Arabidopsis thaliana: one gene and its partner. The protein of the gene in region 2 interacts with the protein of the main gene of each other region in a pairwise test. Each region holds a gene or a part of one and is shown on either strand. Other genes may lie near its edges.

Region 1 (8,107 bases), on a different chromosome or scaffold from region 2:
CAGTGCTGTTGCTGCTCCAGAGAAGGAAGTTCAACACTGTGAGTATAACAAAAGCAATACCCGGGAAGAAGCATGCAATGGACCAGGAAAGTGATCTCCATCCTTCTGAAGTCCCCTTGACAGTTCTCCAGAGCCGAACACCAGCGTACCCAGCAACAATACCCAAGAAAAGATAGAGAATAATCATCCCGGTTAGTAGCATTCCTCTTGAGGCAGGCGACATGAATCCAAGTGCAGCGAAAACAATAGTGACAACAGCCATTCCTGTAATTCGAACCCCATCTCCCACCATAATGCATAGAAGCTTTGACATTTCTGGTTCTCTGAACACATCTCCGACAACAAGTTTCCATCCAGAGAGCTCCTCATTCATCTGTGCCTGTGCTTCCTTGTCCAGTTCCTCATACTTTGTCAAATCCCTTCTCACTGTCCTCAGGAATATGACGAAAACTATACCGGCCAGAAAGAAGATCACCATAAGCGAGTTCAAAATAGAGAACCAATGAACACGAGCACCTTCCATTTTCAAATAGGCATCCCATCTGGATGGCCATCTTGTCTCACTCTTAACAAATTCCACTTCATAAGTGAAGGTTATTCTTTCATGTTCTTTAATGATCTGAGCTTTGTCAAGCTCCAATGGACAGTTAACTGAAGGAACAGGGTCATACATGTGAAGCTTCGTCATTTTTTCAGCATCATACTTAACACTGCAGGGAACAACCTCAAATCCAACAATCTCATACCCCAATGCCTTCTTCTTATCAGCTTCAGAGATCACACCCATACCTTCTTCACCAGTACCAATCACCTCCATGACATTGCCTTCATACTCATGAACCAAAACCTTAAACTTGAGGTGATTAATGATGTAATCATCATTACTGTTAGGTGGCGAATACCCAACAGGATATCCAGTCCACTGGATAGTAACCCCATTCTGCTTAGCGAATCTCAAAGCAGGCAAGTTATCAAGAATCATATTCACTTGATACAACTCACGAGTTCTCTGTTTCAAGAGCTTGACCTCATGCTCATTCAAAGGACTCGTAGTGCATAAGTAAAGAGACTCATTGGTTCTCATCCGAAACCTATAAGCAGAGTTATCAATCTGATCACCCATGAGAAGCTCACCAAGATTCTCAGCACTTTTCTTGATACCTTCAAGTGGTTGGCAGTAAGGAAGACTATAGTAACTGAAAGGAAGCTCAGTTTCAATAGAAGTCAAGGAATTGACTTTGGCGAAGATAGAGTCTCCATCTGAATATGTGTGCATATAACTCCCTGGTAAGTAAAACCCATTGCAAAGCTGACTAACAAACACCAGTAACACGAATACTCGATACACACCAAACATTGTCCCTTCCTGTATCAAAATACAAAAACTCTCTCACGATTAGTAAAAATCACTACTATTGTAACAGATTCAAGCACATTCTCACGAATACATTGAAATCGAAATGGTTTATGCATGTAGATCAGATTCGTAGTAACCAGATTCGGGATTAATGAATCAGATCGGTGGATCAATAGATCAGATCTCAAATGGATCATAAACGCAAAACTCAGAAGCTAATTGATATAATGGAATACGAAAACGATGAATACAAAATCAGAAAACGCGAAAGAAGAAGCAGATGCGAATCCAACAGATCTCAGAGTATTCGAGAGCAAACCTGAGAGAGAGAGATCCAGGTATGGAGATCTACGAGGGAGTCAGATCTAGAAGAGGTGGTCGAGGGACTTTGGGTTGTTTCGAAGGTCACGCTGATAATCTCTCTCACTGCTTTGCTTTGGTTGCTTAATGCGTTCGCAAAGAGAGCGAATAACGAAAATCAAGAAAATCGTGGGTGTGTTGGGTAGTTATTCTCTGTGACGCGCTTATACAATATGTCGGTGCGGTAATCACCGTGCCTAACTTCATCTGAGGCCAAAAAAAAAAAAAAAAAAAACTTCATCTAAGGCCTTGAATTTCTATTGGTTGAACTGGTTATAATTAATTATATTTTTAAGTAAACGACGGTTTTTAAATGAGATTTTTGTAAAATAGAGAGAGTATAATGTAGTTAATTTTTAAAAAAATAAAACAAAGCCAAATGACCAATTTTTTGGAAACAAAAAATAATTTTATCACATATAATTTGAACATTTTTTTTTTTGCTAAAGAATTCAATATTTACTACAATTTTGAATTATTTTGAACTCTTATGTAAGAAAGTAAAATTTACACAAAATACATATTTTGAGAAGCTGGCATCCGGCATTTTGACATGCGTATTTTCTCAAACATTAAATACATTAATATATATGTTAACTAGCATTATAATAGAGTAAAATATTCACAAAATAATGTTTTGAGAAGCTGAAATGTAACATGATATTCTACAGTCTAGCAATTTGAGGTTTTCTACCGAATTTTCATAGTTTGTATTGTAAATTCAAATTAAATTTAAGTTCATGTAGTTATAAGCACATAAAAAAGTTCGGTGAATGGAAACGATAAAGCAATTTAGTTCATGGTGAAATAGGCCACATGATTATTAGCAGGATTCATAGATAAGAATGTTAACAAAATTAAATGGTAAATTGGGTTTAATTAGGTTTATGACCTCCGGTCGTCCTTACGCTATTATCTCCACAGCGTTTTTGTTTCATCTAATCAACGAAGTGAACTTTCGAAATCGATATCTGAATTTTGATTTAAAAATTGGAGGTAATCATTCACCAATCGGTTTGTCAACGTAAAAATCTCTCTCTGATTATATGAATTGATGTGATGTGAGTTCTTAGAATTATGATTCATCGAATTGGAAAAAATAAAGTTGTTCGTTGTCAGTAAAATTAGGGTAATTTGAATCATTAACGAGTATATGTATGTATTGTAAGACATGATTGATATACATAATGGTAAAAGAAGCTAAGCATGAGTAAAGCCGATTATTGGCAGAGATAGTTTTTTTCATCAGTCTTGATGATTGTTTCGATTAATACTCTATTGGATCTTTATTTTATTCATGAACTTGATTAGAATTTGTTCCTATATGCATGATTTTAGGGTTAAAATTTCTCTTGAATTTGGTATATTCTCTTGAATTTGATTAAAATTTTATCTGTTTTACTTTAAAGTAAAGTTTAGTGGGCACAGCCCAACCTAATGAAAATAAAAGAAGCCATAAACAGCCCAATAAGAAAGAAGTAAAGTGAACCAAATCGCAGGAATTAACCTCTGAAACGATGAACAGAAGAAATTGCAAAAAGAAGAAGAAGATATGAGTTCTCGAATTTTATCCTCCGATTCGGTAATCTTCTTACGTTTCTCTGTACTTACTGGAGATAAAAAAAATCGAAAATTCTCATCTTTTAAGTCAATTTTGTTACTTTCTTTCGAAAGTTTGGTGATTGTTTTGATGTGATAACGCAGGACGACGTTGATGAAGAAAACCCGAAAACTCACGAGAATGGTCCAATTGGAGGAAAGACTCAAAATTTAGGGCAAAGCAAGGGAGGTGATAGTGATAATGTTGTAAAGACTAATACTTGTTTCGTGTGTGATGGGAAAGACAATTGGGTTTTGGTATGTTACGGAGAGGAATGTACTATAGCTATTCATCAGAGTTGTGCATCTGATGAACCTGATTTCGATGAATTTGGAAATTTCTATTGTCCTTATTGTTGGTATAAGCGTGTAGTTGTCAAGTGTTTGGAGTTAGGGAAGAAGCTTATGCTGACTGACAAGTCTAGGAAGGGATGTAGAGAGAGTTTAGGAGGAGTAGATGTGGGTTTAATGATGGAGAAAGAAGCTGGAGGTGTTGAGAATGTAGTGGAGGTTAATGTTTCTGGAGCAAGTGGTATGGTTAGTGGGAAGAGAAGGGAAGGTGATGGATTAAACAATAAATGGATAGTGATCGAGAAGAGTCAGAAAATGCAAAAAGTTGCTGCTGAAACTCATTCTCGGGAAAATTCTAAGGCTGATGATATTGATTCGGATAAGGGAAGAAAGCAGCGAGGAAGATTTAATGAGAAGAATTATGAAATTTCATATGCGTGCATTTCTAATGCAGGTGAGGGAAGAAAGGGAAGGGTAAGAAGAGGTAATGAGAAAAATCATCAAGCACCAGAAGCGCACAGTATTGATGTTGGTGGGGAAAGAAAGCGACAGAGAAGATGCGATGATATAAACCATGAAAAAGCACAACCGCACAGTTTTGCTGTTGGTATCAAAACAAAAGAGAAGAGGAGATACAGTGAGAAGAACCAGCAAAACAAAACAGTTGCAACTACTCATGAACACGACGTCTTAACTAATGATGGAAGAACAGAAGCCCGCGATTCTGATTTCGGTGAGGGAAGAAGTGGGCAAGGATGTTTCCATGAGAATAACCAGCAAACGAAAGTGTCGTCTACTGAAAGATGCGAGCAGGAAATCCCTAGGACCAATAAAAGAGTGTCACTCGGTTCTGGATTAGGGGAGGGGCGATATCGGGAGGGAAGACATATTGAAAAGAATCAGCATACCGAAACTGTTAAAACTGAAACTCATGGGAAGGAAGTTTCTAAGGATAGGAAGAGAAAGCGGGAAAGAGGAGTGGAAAGAGATGGGGATGAGTTCTATTTGGCGGAGAATCAAGACAGACAATGCCAAGCTGATATGAGAAATGATGATGTGGCCTTCAATAAGCAAGCGACTGGTTTCAGCACAGTTGAACAAGTAGAGCGAAAGTCTGTATCATCTATTTCATCTCCGGAGTCTACAAACAATGTTAACGACCCTAATGTTGCTTTTCAAGAGTTAGCTTTGATCATCCACCCTAAGGCTGGTGTACAAGAACAACCTATCGAAGCACGACCTTTACGCTCTGTCTCTTCGAAGAAACCATCTTTTCAACCTGAAAAATACGGACACAAAAGTTACCTGGAGAAGAATGGACCTGCGTCTAATGATCCCGCACAAAGGTTTCTATTCATTTGGAACTTCGTGACATTTAAATTGCCTTTAGCATAATGGATGTTTTTGAGGAAGATTCCTAAGCAGCTTGTCACGGGCTTTAAGCTAACAATTTTTCTTCCATGTAGTGCTACAAAAAGGAAAAGACGATTTTGGACGCTGGCAGAAGTAGAGATGCTTAGGGTATGTAACTTGCACATTTCTCTCTATCCTACGTATATTTCATGCTGCAGTTATCTTGGTTTTTCGTAATTTGGAGCTTACACATTCAACGGCTCTTTTTAAAGGTTTATGCCTGTTTTAGTTTATCAGCTTTATAAAAACAGCCAGGGTAGCTGGTCTTATCATCTCCTAAGAGGCGGTATTTCATTTTCAGTCGTAATGCAATTGTTTTGTAGACTAGACTTCATAAATAAGAGCTTATCCTCCAAATCATTGTGAAATTATATCTGAGATATATAACATTGTTTGTGGCTGTCCAAATTAAATATTTTGCTATGTAGTGCACAATGGTGATAAATGTGGATTTGTCTAACTTCGTCCTGTCCTTTAGGTTGGTGTGCAGAAATTCCCTGGCGAGAGGAATATTCCATGGCGCAAAATCTTGCAATTTGGTCGGGATGTGTTTCATGATGAACGGGCTCCAAGCGACCTCAAGGACAAGTGGAAGACGTTAAACAAAATTCCTTCTGACACGGGGAAATGGGTAAGCCTTTCAACTGAAAGACAACCGAATTACTATGTGTCTGAAGTTAGTTCTGAATGACCTATCGGACTTAGCAAGCATTAGAGCTTAGAAGAGTAGTAGATAGGGCTTTGCAGATTTTGTACAACCTTGCTTGCTCCTAGTTTGCTAAATGTATATGGAGCAAAACTGATCTTACCTTTTAACACTAAATTCAAAAAAAAAAAAAAAAAATTGATCTTACCTTTCTAATTTGTATGTCCTCGGCAATGTAGAGAATTCACAAGAGTGAGATGATATTTCATGACACTTGAACACAAGTTTATACTAAAAATCATGAACCAATGTTGTACTTCAATATCTATTAAACTTTTACATGTCTTTTGATATGGATTTCTCTGCAATTGTAAGACAAAGAAGAAAACAGTAAGGTCAATTTTACACTTCGTGTAAACAAACTTTTTTCTAAGTTTTTAATGAATTAAAAAATAGATGTTTTAGACAGAAAATGATGAGGGTAGAATTCCCGCCAGTGCGTGGGTTCAACTATAAATCCTTTAACCGCCACGTGTCCTAGAAGAGTGCCACGTACAGCCACTATCCTCCACTTTCGGCTTATTTCTGTCGGTTTATTCTCTGCTCACTGAGTGGCAAGAAAAAAAGAAATGGAAGTTCCCAAAGGATTCTTTGAGAAACTGTGGAGTTTTGTCTCTTTTCTTCCTTACTTCTTCCTCTTGCTGCTCCTTGGCGTCACCAAGGGTATGAATCTTCTCTTCTTTCTTCTCTCCATCCATAAGAATGGAGATGTTAGCTTTGCTTATTAGCTCTTGAGTTTGTTAGAGCTCCAGAGTCGTGTAAACTCGAATCTGATTTTCTGCACTCTTAAGGTTAGATTTTGGTAAATGGAATACTTTAGGAGGCTACTGAAGCTATTTGAATTCATATTAATAATGAGTAATGATGTTTATTTACACAAAACTTATTGAGTATTTTAGTAAAGCACTGTAAGTTATGTACGGTGTAACGTTCTCCCTCTTGTTTCGTTTTGGTTCTCAGCCCTGATTATTGGTCCAATATCATCTGCTATAATTTTGGTTGGCAATTCATGTGTCATCATTGGCCTTTGGCCAGCACATTTCATTTGGACCTACTACTGTTTGGCAAGGTGTATACCCATCAAATTTGAAATACTTTGTTTCTTGTTTCATCTCCTTTTAATTTCCACTAAATATCTTGTTTTTGTAACCTCTAGAACCAAGAGAATAGGGCTGGTTTTGAAGACCTTGGCATTGGTATTATTTCCACTGCCTTTGCTCCTCTGGCCAGTTGCTGGTATAGTAGGAAGTCTCTTCGGTGGAATCGCCTACGGGTTTTTCACGCCTCTTATGGCTACATTCGAGGCTGTAGGAGAGTCTGTTACTAGCAAATGCTACCATTGCTTTGTTGATGGTTCGTTCTCCACTATTAAAGGGAGTTGTACTGTGGTTACAGACTTCACAGATTTCTGCTTCCATTCTTACTTCTCCTACATGGATGAGTTAAGAGAAATGGTTTCGGCCGATGTTGAACCCTTAGAGATAAAGTAAGAATCTGAATCGCTCTCTTCGTTAGAGATAAAGAAGAACAATTTTTTTTTACAGTTTACAGTGATGGCGTAATCTCATTTTCTTACCAGGTTGTCTCGGCTACCTAGTTGTCTCCTTGCTAGTCTCATAGGTGTGATGGTAGATGTTCTTCTAATAACAGCTGTCGCTGTTTACAAAAGCCCATACATGTTACTCAAAGGATGGAAGAGGCTATTGGAAGACCTTGTTGGTAGAGAGGGCCCATTCCTAGAGAGTGTCTGTGTTCCATTTGCAGGTCTTGCCATATTGCTATGGCCACTGGCTGTCGCGGGAGCTGTAATAGCTTCAGTTTTATCCAGCTTCTTTCTTGGACTGTACAGTGGAGTCATCGTTCATCAGGTTCACAGCCTTTACTTATAGTCCATTAAGTGGTTTTATAGCTTACAGATTTGGTTATGTTGATGTTCTTTGGTTTTGAGGCTTCATTAGATTCTATGTCGAAAGGATTTGAAAGGAAACTGCTTAATTCTTGAGCTCCTCTGGTTGTGATTTTTAACTATTTGTGAGATAGTTACTGTTGCTTCGACAATAGTTCTGGCTAGTTTAGATACTTTATGTTAGTTAAACTGCGGCTTAGCCATAGATTTTGTAATTTAAGTATCTGCCATGAAAATTCTTAAGACATGTATCTTGAATGATCGCTATGGGTAGGCACTGATAATTTATGGTCGGTTAGGAGGTCTCTATCCTTTAATCGTTTGATTATTTATTCAGGAGGACTCTTTCAGAATGGGACTTAACTATATAATTGCTGCGGTCTCACTGTTTGACGAATATGTAAATGATTTACTCTATTTGAGAGAAGGAACTAGCCTGCCGAGGTACATAGTGGAGGCTCTGTTCCATTAATAT
Region 2 (7,297 bases):
GCAGAAACCAAAGTCAGTGATATACATAAGCATAGGAACACTTGGTCAAATGGAAACCAAGGAAGTTTTGGAGATGTCTTGGGGGTTGTGTAATAGCAACCAACCATTTCTATGGGTTATCCGAGCGGGTTCTATCCTTGGCACTAACGGAATAGAGTCATTGCCAGAGGATGTCAATAAAATGGTCTCTGAAAGAGGATACATTGTGAAACGAGCACCGCAGATAGAAGTACTTGGACATCCTGCAGTGGGAGGCTTCTGGAGCCACTGTGGATGGAACTCAATACTCGAGAGCATTGGAGAAGGAGTTCCAATGATTTGCAAGCCCTTTCATGGCGAGCAAAAGTTGAATGCAATGTATATAGAAAGTGTTTGGAGAATAGGGTTTCAGGTGGAAGGTAAAGTGGATAGAGGAGAGGTTGAGAGAGCTGTGAAGAGGTTGATCGTGGATGACGAAGGTGCGGGGATGCGAGAGAGAGCCCTTGTTCTGAAAGAGAAGATCAAAGCCTCTGTCAGTAGTGGAGGCGCCTCATACAACGCATTGGAAGATATTGTCAATTACTTGAAGACAAAGCAAAGATGTTGAACTTCATGTAATATTAATTGAATTGTTGCAAAATTTGCAAAGTGTGGTTTCTTTTGTATCACTCTTGGCAGTTTGCTCAATATAGAATTGTTGCATCACAATAAACATCTTTTCTTTTGTCTTTGATTACTACTCTCTCTAACAAAATAAAGAGATGTAACTACTTGCGTACACCATCGACCACATGCTTCACATGTGCGCAAAGAGAGCTAACAAAACATTATACGGATGAATTAGTGTCCACAAGCGAGAATCTGATATTTATATATATAAAACGTTCAAAGAAGATGAGAAGCAGAGTAATCTATAAGCCCGGAGCTTAGAGAGCTACTTATTAGTTTTCTTGTAGGTTTTGGAAATGGAGGAAAAGCAGGTTTCTTAGTAACAGTAGCTTCCGCCCTATAAACAAGTAGAAAACATATGTATCAACTACATTGTGAAAAGGGCTCCACAGAAGGAAGTACTTGCTCATCCTGCAATAGGGGCGTTTTGGAGCCATAAAGGATGCAACTCGATACTAGAAAACATGATCAGCGAAGGAGTTCCGGTGATTTGCAGGCCATTTTCGGGTGAACGCAAGGTACTTGGAGTGTGTTTGGAAAATTGGGATTCAAGTGGAGGGTGATCTAGAAAGAGGAGCGGTCGAGAGAGCTGTGAAGAGGTTAACGGTTTTCGAAGAAGGAGAGGAAATGAGAAAGAGAGCCGTCACTTTGAAGGAGGAGCTGAGAGCCTCTGTTAGAGGTGGAGGTTCTTTACACAACTCGCTAAAGGAGTTTGAACACTTCATGATGACTCTATGAAGACAATTACTTGTGTGGATGTTAAGAAATCTATGTACTTTTCTATTCTAGAAGAATCTCGCTACTATTAAATAAGATAATCAAGGTCTGAAGATAAGGTTGTCACTGAATGTATGATGTGCAGAGAAACAATCATATATTAATGAAAATTATGAACATATATTGGAGATGAAAAGGTCTTGAAATTATTATCTAAATCTCAAAGTAGAACCCTAAGTGGCTGAAACCTATGTCAGCAAGAAACATTGGAAAGACTTTTGCTTTTGTTAAAATGTCACTTTCTTCCTTTTGTTGGACGTTCATTGGTATGTGGCTCTCCAATCACTCGTAAGGTCATCATATGAGGAATACTTGATTGTATTAAAATGGCTTCTTCTGAAACATTTGATTGGTTTATAAATTTTTAAAATAAAGTTTGTGTCTGACGCCATCTCTCACAGAAATAAACAATTCACTCTCTTGATTACCACTTTAAGAAGTCTGCAGACAAATAAAACAAAGGGACTTACCTCTTACAAGATAGAAAAATGAGTATATGAAATTTGTCTGCAGTCTTCTCTTGGTTTAGCTTCTACATGATACTTTGTATGATCCTCTCCTGAACAGATGCAATTTGGGACTTTGCGGTGGAAAACTCCGCAAAAGATAAGAAATTTTGTAGACACCAAGAACCTGTAACAACAATCAAATATGATCAAGACCTGCAAAAGATGCAGAACCCAAACATAAAAGAGAAACTGCTCATTCTACCTAAAAGCTTGCACAGGTAATATCTTGTCTAGATCAAAAAACATCACAAGACTTTCCCAATGAGGAAACCAAAACCAAAATAACATGACACTATCACTTCTGCAAAAAGAGTACACAAGAAAATGTCGAGCCACATGACACATATGCTCTCTTGGATTTGACATAACTCACAGTGTTAGTTACCTAGTCCCGAAGAGAAAATTAAACACATGGTTTTCAAAACCACCATATAATTCCGAAGATGAATCAAACATGATCTGGATTACATTAAGTCTCAAGTCACATGAGAGCAATTTTGATACTTAATTCTCAATAACATTTCAACATAGCACAAGAATCTCAAAATCAAATTCAACTTAGTTGATTATATTAACTCTGTCAACATCACCAAACAAGTGATTATTAAGACTTTATTGTATACCATTTATAGTAAAAGACAGAAACTTGATGAAAATTTCGATCAAATCGAGTAAGAATTATAACTGTACTGTACTTAAAAAAACAGAAACTTGACAATAATTATCAGTTCCACGAGCAATAACAAGCTCACCTATCTCTTCCTCCCCCATTGAATCCATCTATAGACTCTTTTTAATTCTCATTTGCGCTTCCACCTCCAACAGAAGGATAAGAAGCCATGGATCCAAACTTATTCTGCTGCATCATATAAGGATTTGACTCAAACGCACCATTTCCACCAGCTCCATGATGATGACGATGATTCTGATGATAAGGATCATGATTATGATTTTGATGATGATATCCTTGCATACCCATATGATGTGCATAAACTGGCATCTGCATCATCTGTTGCGTTCCATACGCCCCCGGAATCGGCACTCCAACATTACCGCTGCTACCGCCACCGCCACCGATATCTTGGAAGCTCTGTGGAGGAACAGGTGTTGAAGAGAAGAGCTTATCCGAAGCAGAGGGACCTTCATTAGTCAATCCCTGCATCCTTTTGAGGTAAAGCCTATACTTTTGAAGATGAGACGCAACGTTCTCACGAGTTAATCCTTCAACGTTCATCAGCTGCATAATCGTCTTCGGAACAGCGTTTTTGATCCCTAAGTGAGCTACAACGTCAACGAATCTCTTGTGTAGCTGCGGTGTCCACACTAAACGCGGTCGTTTAAGTGTTTTCCCAGATAGATCTTCAGTTCCTGAATCTCCTTCTTCCGCCGCCATCGCCGAATCCGGATCCACACCGCCACCGTCATCTCCATCACCGTTTGATGTCTTTTGCTTCTTCGAATCCGATCCAGGACTGCTAGATCCAACTCGATCTTCCTCCTCCACGTTATTATTCGACGACGAGGTATTTGGACCTGAAGATCCACCACGTAGCGACGAGAGCGTCGTCTCCGATGCACGATTCACATCCTGAATCGTACGGCTTCTCTCCGGTGTGATACTAAACGCCATCGCCAAATTCGGTGGAATCAGAGAGTAAGAAAGAGATGCTAGATCTTCGTCGCTTGGTAATCCCATCTCCCATTCAGAAACCCTATCTCCGTCGCCGGAAACATCGTAATCGCTCATTTGTACTTCCTCTCCCATTTCAAACTCTCTAATTTCTCGAAATTCAGTTAGAGATTGAGCTCTTCGAAGCTCAAAATCGATAAAAATTCAAATCTGAGATCGGAGAAGAAGAGAAGTTTGGTTTGTGAAGATGATGAGCAAACAATTTTTTTTTTTTTTTTTTTCAGAAGTGAAACAATTTCGAAAAAGAGAAGATTATCACTTGTTTTATATTTTTCTTTTCCAGGAAAAAGCGCAATATTTTAATTCCAACGTGGACGAGTTAGCTAGATATTTTAGATCTTCTAAATATCTTTTCAAACCGACCTAACCAATCTCTTTTCAACACGTCATCAGTTCACATTATGTATCAATAGTTACGATCTAGGTGATTGAAATTGAAATTACCAAACTAGGCACGTAAGATGGAGCCACGTGGAGTGAAAAGAGCCAAGTCAGCTATTTGTGAGGGTTTTTCAGTAAATTACTACCGACTTAGCAAGTTGTGTTTGCGGGCCTAGAGAGAAAGTGGGCAAAACCGGTGGGTTCGGCCAGCTGGAGAGTGAAAAGAGGAGAAAGATTCGGTGATGAGTATCTACAGTACTGACACGCAATGTGATCTTTCCACCGTTGGATTGTTGTTTTAGATATTTATAGAAGCATATAAAGATCAATCTAACGGCACAGATTGGCTGGCACCTAACTTTTAAGAAAATGAAAATAATTATTGTGGAAAGGCTCAGAGAGGTTTAGTTACTCTGTTTAGCTTCTTCAACGTCACGGGTTCGATGCCCCAACTTCACAAACTGACGAAACGTTATCTTCTTCTCAAATTTCTGATTCTCTGAGATTTCCCCAATTTTTCATCTTCTTCGAGTGATTAGTACAGATTAGGGTTTTATTCGTTATTATTGTCTATATTACTCCTTGATTGTGGTCGATGACCTCGCTACTTCTTCTCAGAACGCTTCCGCTTCTCCGCAACGGATTTCTCAACCATCGTCATCAAGTTGGTATCGTAGCTGGTGGAATTCTCAGTCACCGTCGGCGTTTGTTGTGTTCTCTTGCTGATAGACCACAGTTTTACGAGAATAATGATTCTGTTTCTCCGGTGGAGGGATCCGGCGCGGCGGCGATGAACGTGACATCGCCTGTTGTTGATAATAGCTGGCGTTATGAAGATCCTGATTATCGGAAATGGAAGAATCTAGAGGCTGAGATTCTTCGAGATATTGAACCTATTTCTCTTCTCGCTAAAGAAATTCTTCATTCCGATAGGTAATTTCTTCAAATTCTTGCTGATTGTTCTTCAATAGCTGTTCCATGTTTGGATTAGTATTGAAGGTATAGGCTCATAGCTTCTTCCAGTAGCTTAATCAAACAACATAGAGACACCATATGGCCTTTTGAGGTGACTATTACACATGATGATATTCTTGGCTTATTGTTGAGGATCCTTTAGCAATGGATGATAGGATTATAGTGGTCATTGCAGAAAGTGAGAGATGCTCTTGTATATATCTTCAGTTTACTTGAACATTAGGCAAATTACAACTTTTTTCTAGTGAACTATTGACATTTGAAGCTAGCTTCAGAGCATACTTGCTGTTTTCTTTGTGTAGATTACTTTTTGCAGTTCTAGTGAGCTGTTTTTTTTTTCCTTTTTGGTAAGCAGGTATTTGGATGGAGAACGCTTAGATTTTGAGGATGAGAAAATTGTCATGGAAAAGCTTCTTCCTTATCACCCATATTCCAAAGACAAAATTGGTTGTGGTCTTGATTTTATAATGGTACGTAAATTCGAGCTAACCCGATATCTCTCTCTTTAAGCTCTACTCATATAGAAATTATCTTGAGGTATTGTGCATAGTTCTCGAATCACCATGATAGATATATGACTTACTTACATGCTCTATCCATAAATCTTCATTTGCTTTATGTGCATGGACTTATGAGTGTGCTACTTTGTTACTGGCAGGTTGATCGGCATCCACAATTCAGGCACTCAAGATGCCTCTTTGTTGTGAGAACAGATGGTGGATGGATAGATTTCTCGTACCAAAAGTGTCTTCGAGCCTATGTTCGAGATAAGTACCCGTCTCACGCTGAGAGGTTTATTCGTGAACATTTTAAGCGTGCTAGTAGCTAAAAATCTGTATAACTGTCCCACTCATCATCACAGCAAATTCTCATAAATTTTTAGCTGAAATAACACAATCAGCTATGAAGCTTTGTTGTACAAAATTTATAAATTGCTCAATCTATTGGAAGACTTGAATGAGTTAGGAAAATAGTAGTTGGTTCAGACTGCAGAACAATCAATTTTTGAGACCGAAAGTAATTCTAGTTATGGAATACAATATTTGCATGTTGTAAAATCTTTTTAGCTGAAACTTCGAACATCCTTTGCAAGTAAAAATATTGTCACTTCAAACTTTCGAAGTAGCTAGAGAATTTCCAAAGTCTAAACTGTCAGAGAGCAAAGCCCAAAATGAACAATCTCAAAAAGAAACCCAAACCAGTACGCTTTGTAATGTTTCCAAACGATGAGGATAAGAGAAGAATCTACCTTATTCCAACCCATAATTGACTCCATATATATAACTCATAAAGTCAAATGTTTTGGTTAACAAACTACAAGCATTTAGTTGACAAAATTAAAGTTGAACCAATAACCATTTAGTCCTTAAACAAACTAAAAAATATGTCAACATATGTTGATAATCAACATATACAAGAACACATTTACATCATTTCCAAAATTCAAAGATTTATATTATATATTTCACATCAATACAAATAGATCTTTTACCTTCTTTTTCTTTTCTAATTTGGGGTCAAATGGATCTTTTACCTTGTGAAACAAATTATTTACAAACAAACAAAATTATTTTGTACTCCAACTAAAGTATACTTACCCCACAAAACGACGACGTTTAGTAACTTTCAAAGAAAGAAACGAAGGTAGGTCCCACGCTGATTCTTCTGAAACTTCTTCGAAGGTAACAGTTTTCACATTTGGGTCAAATATCTCGCACACGTCAATGACGCTCTTCACTCCAAAGAGACCACCGTTAATAACTCCGTCATCATCTCCCCTAGTCAAAACTCAAAACACTGTCACGTGTTCTCACCGTCTAAAGTAACACCGTTAACACTCACCTACAAAAAACCACATTATATAAACAAATCTTTTTTCTCCTTTTTCCTTCTCTCATCAACTTCAGATCCTTTCACCAGCAACACAAGTTATTTTCAAAAGATGATGCCAAATTCTAGATCGGCGACAATAACTCCGACGACAGAATCAACCACCACAACAACAACAACAACAACGACTCTAACGACGTCGTATTGGTGTTACAGTTGTACACGATTCATCAGCGTTTGGGAAGATCAAGACGCAAACGCTGGAGTCTTATGTCCTTATTGCAACGGTGGATTCATCGAAGAGATTGAAGATTCTTCTAATTCCACCGTCGCGGCGATTCCGGCTTCGACTCCGGAAGTTAGATCGGTTGAGGAAACACATAGATCTATAATTAGACGTCGTAGATCTAATCGCCGGACGTCCTTTAATCCGGTAATCGTCTTACACGGCGGAGGAGGAGGAGGAGCCGGTGAGAGAGTTGAGAAC

Evidence for each region.
Region 1: the proteins of PCL1 (region 2) and AT4G12670 interact in a two-hybrid assay, tested with the Arabidopsis thaliana proteins (one large-scale study listed by BioGRID).

What each region holds. Positions count from the first base shown.
Region 1 is NC_003075.7:7,468,809-7,476,915, forward strand, and holds AT4G12670 (Homeodomain-like superfamily protein), read left to right. Parts: upstream 1-3,197; 5' UTR 3,198-3,269; coding exon 3,270-3,299; intron 3,300-3,421; coding exon 3,422-4,953; intron 4,954-5,073; coding exon 5,074-5,128; intron 5,129-5,498; coding exon 5,499-5,711; 3' UTR 5,712-6,243; downstream 6,244-8,107. Other genes in the region: AT4G12650 (Endomembrane protein 70 protein family), read right to left, coding at 1-1,357; AT4G12680 (uncharacterized protein), read left to right, coding at 6,296-6,389, 6,687-6,795, 6,883-7,212, 7,306-7,594, 7,970-8,076.
Region 2 is NC_003074.8:17,179,650-17,186,946, reverse strand, and holds PCL1 (Homeodomain-like superfamily protein), read right to left. Parts: upstream 3,878-7,297; 5' UTR 3,700-3,877; coding exon 2,826-3,699; coding exon of another isoform or gene 2,728-2,825; exon of another isoform or gene 2,061-2,727; intron 2,059-2,060; coding exon 1,958-2,058; 3' UTR 1,896-1,957; exon of another isoform or gene 1,762-1,895; 3' UTR 1,593-1,761; downstream 1-1,592. Other genes in the region: AT3G46650 (UDP-Glycosyltransferase superfamily protein), read left to right, coding at 1-357, 1,167-1,386; AT3G46630 (DCL protein (DUF3223)), read left to right, coding at 4,601-4,938, 5,336-5,450, 5,639-5,809; RDUF1 (zinc finger (C3HC4-type RING finger) family protein), read left to right, coding at 6,923-7,297. UniProt on the Arabidopsis thaliana protein: Transcription factor that is essential for the generation of the circadian clock oscillation. Is necessary for activation of CCA1 and LHY expression.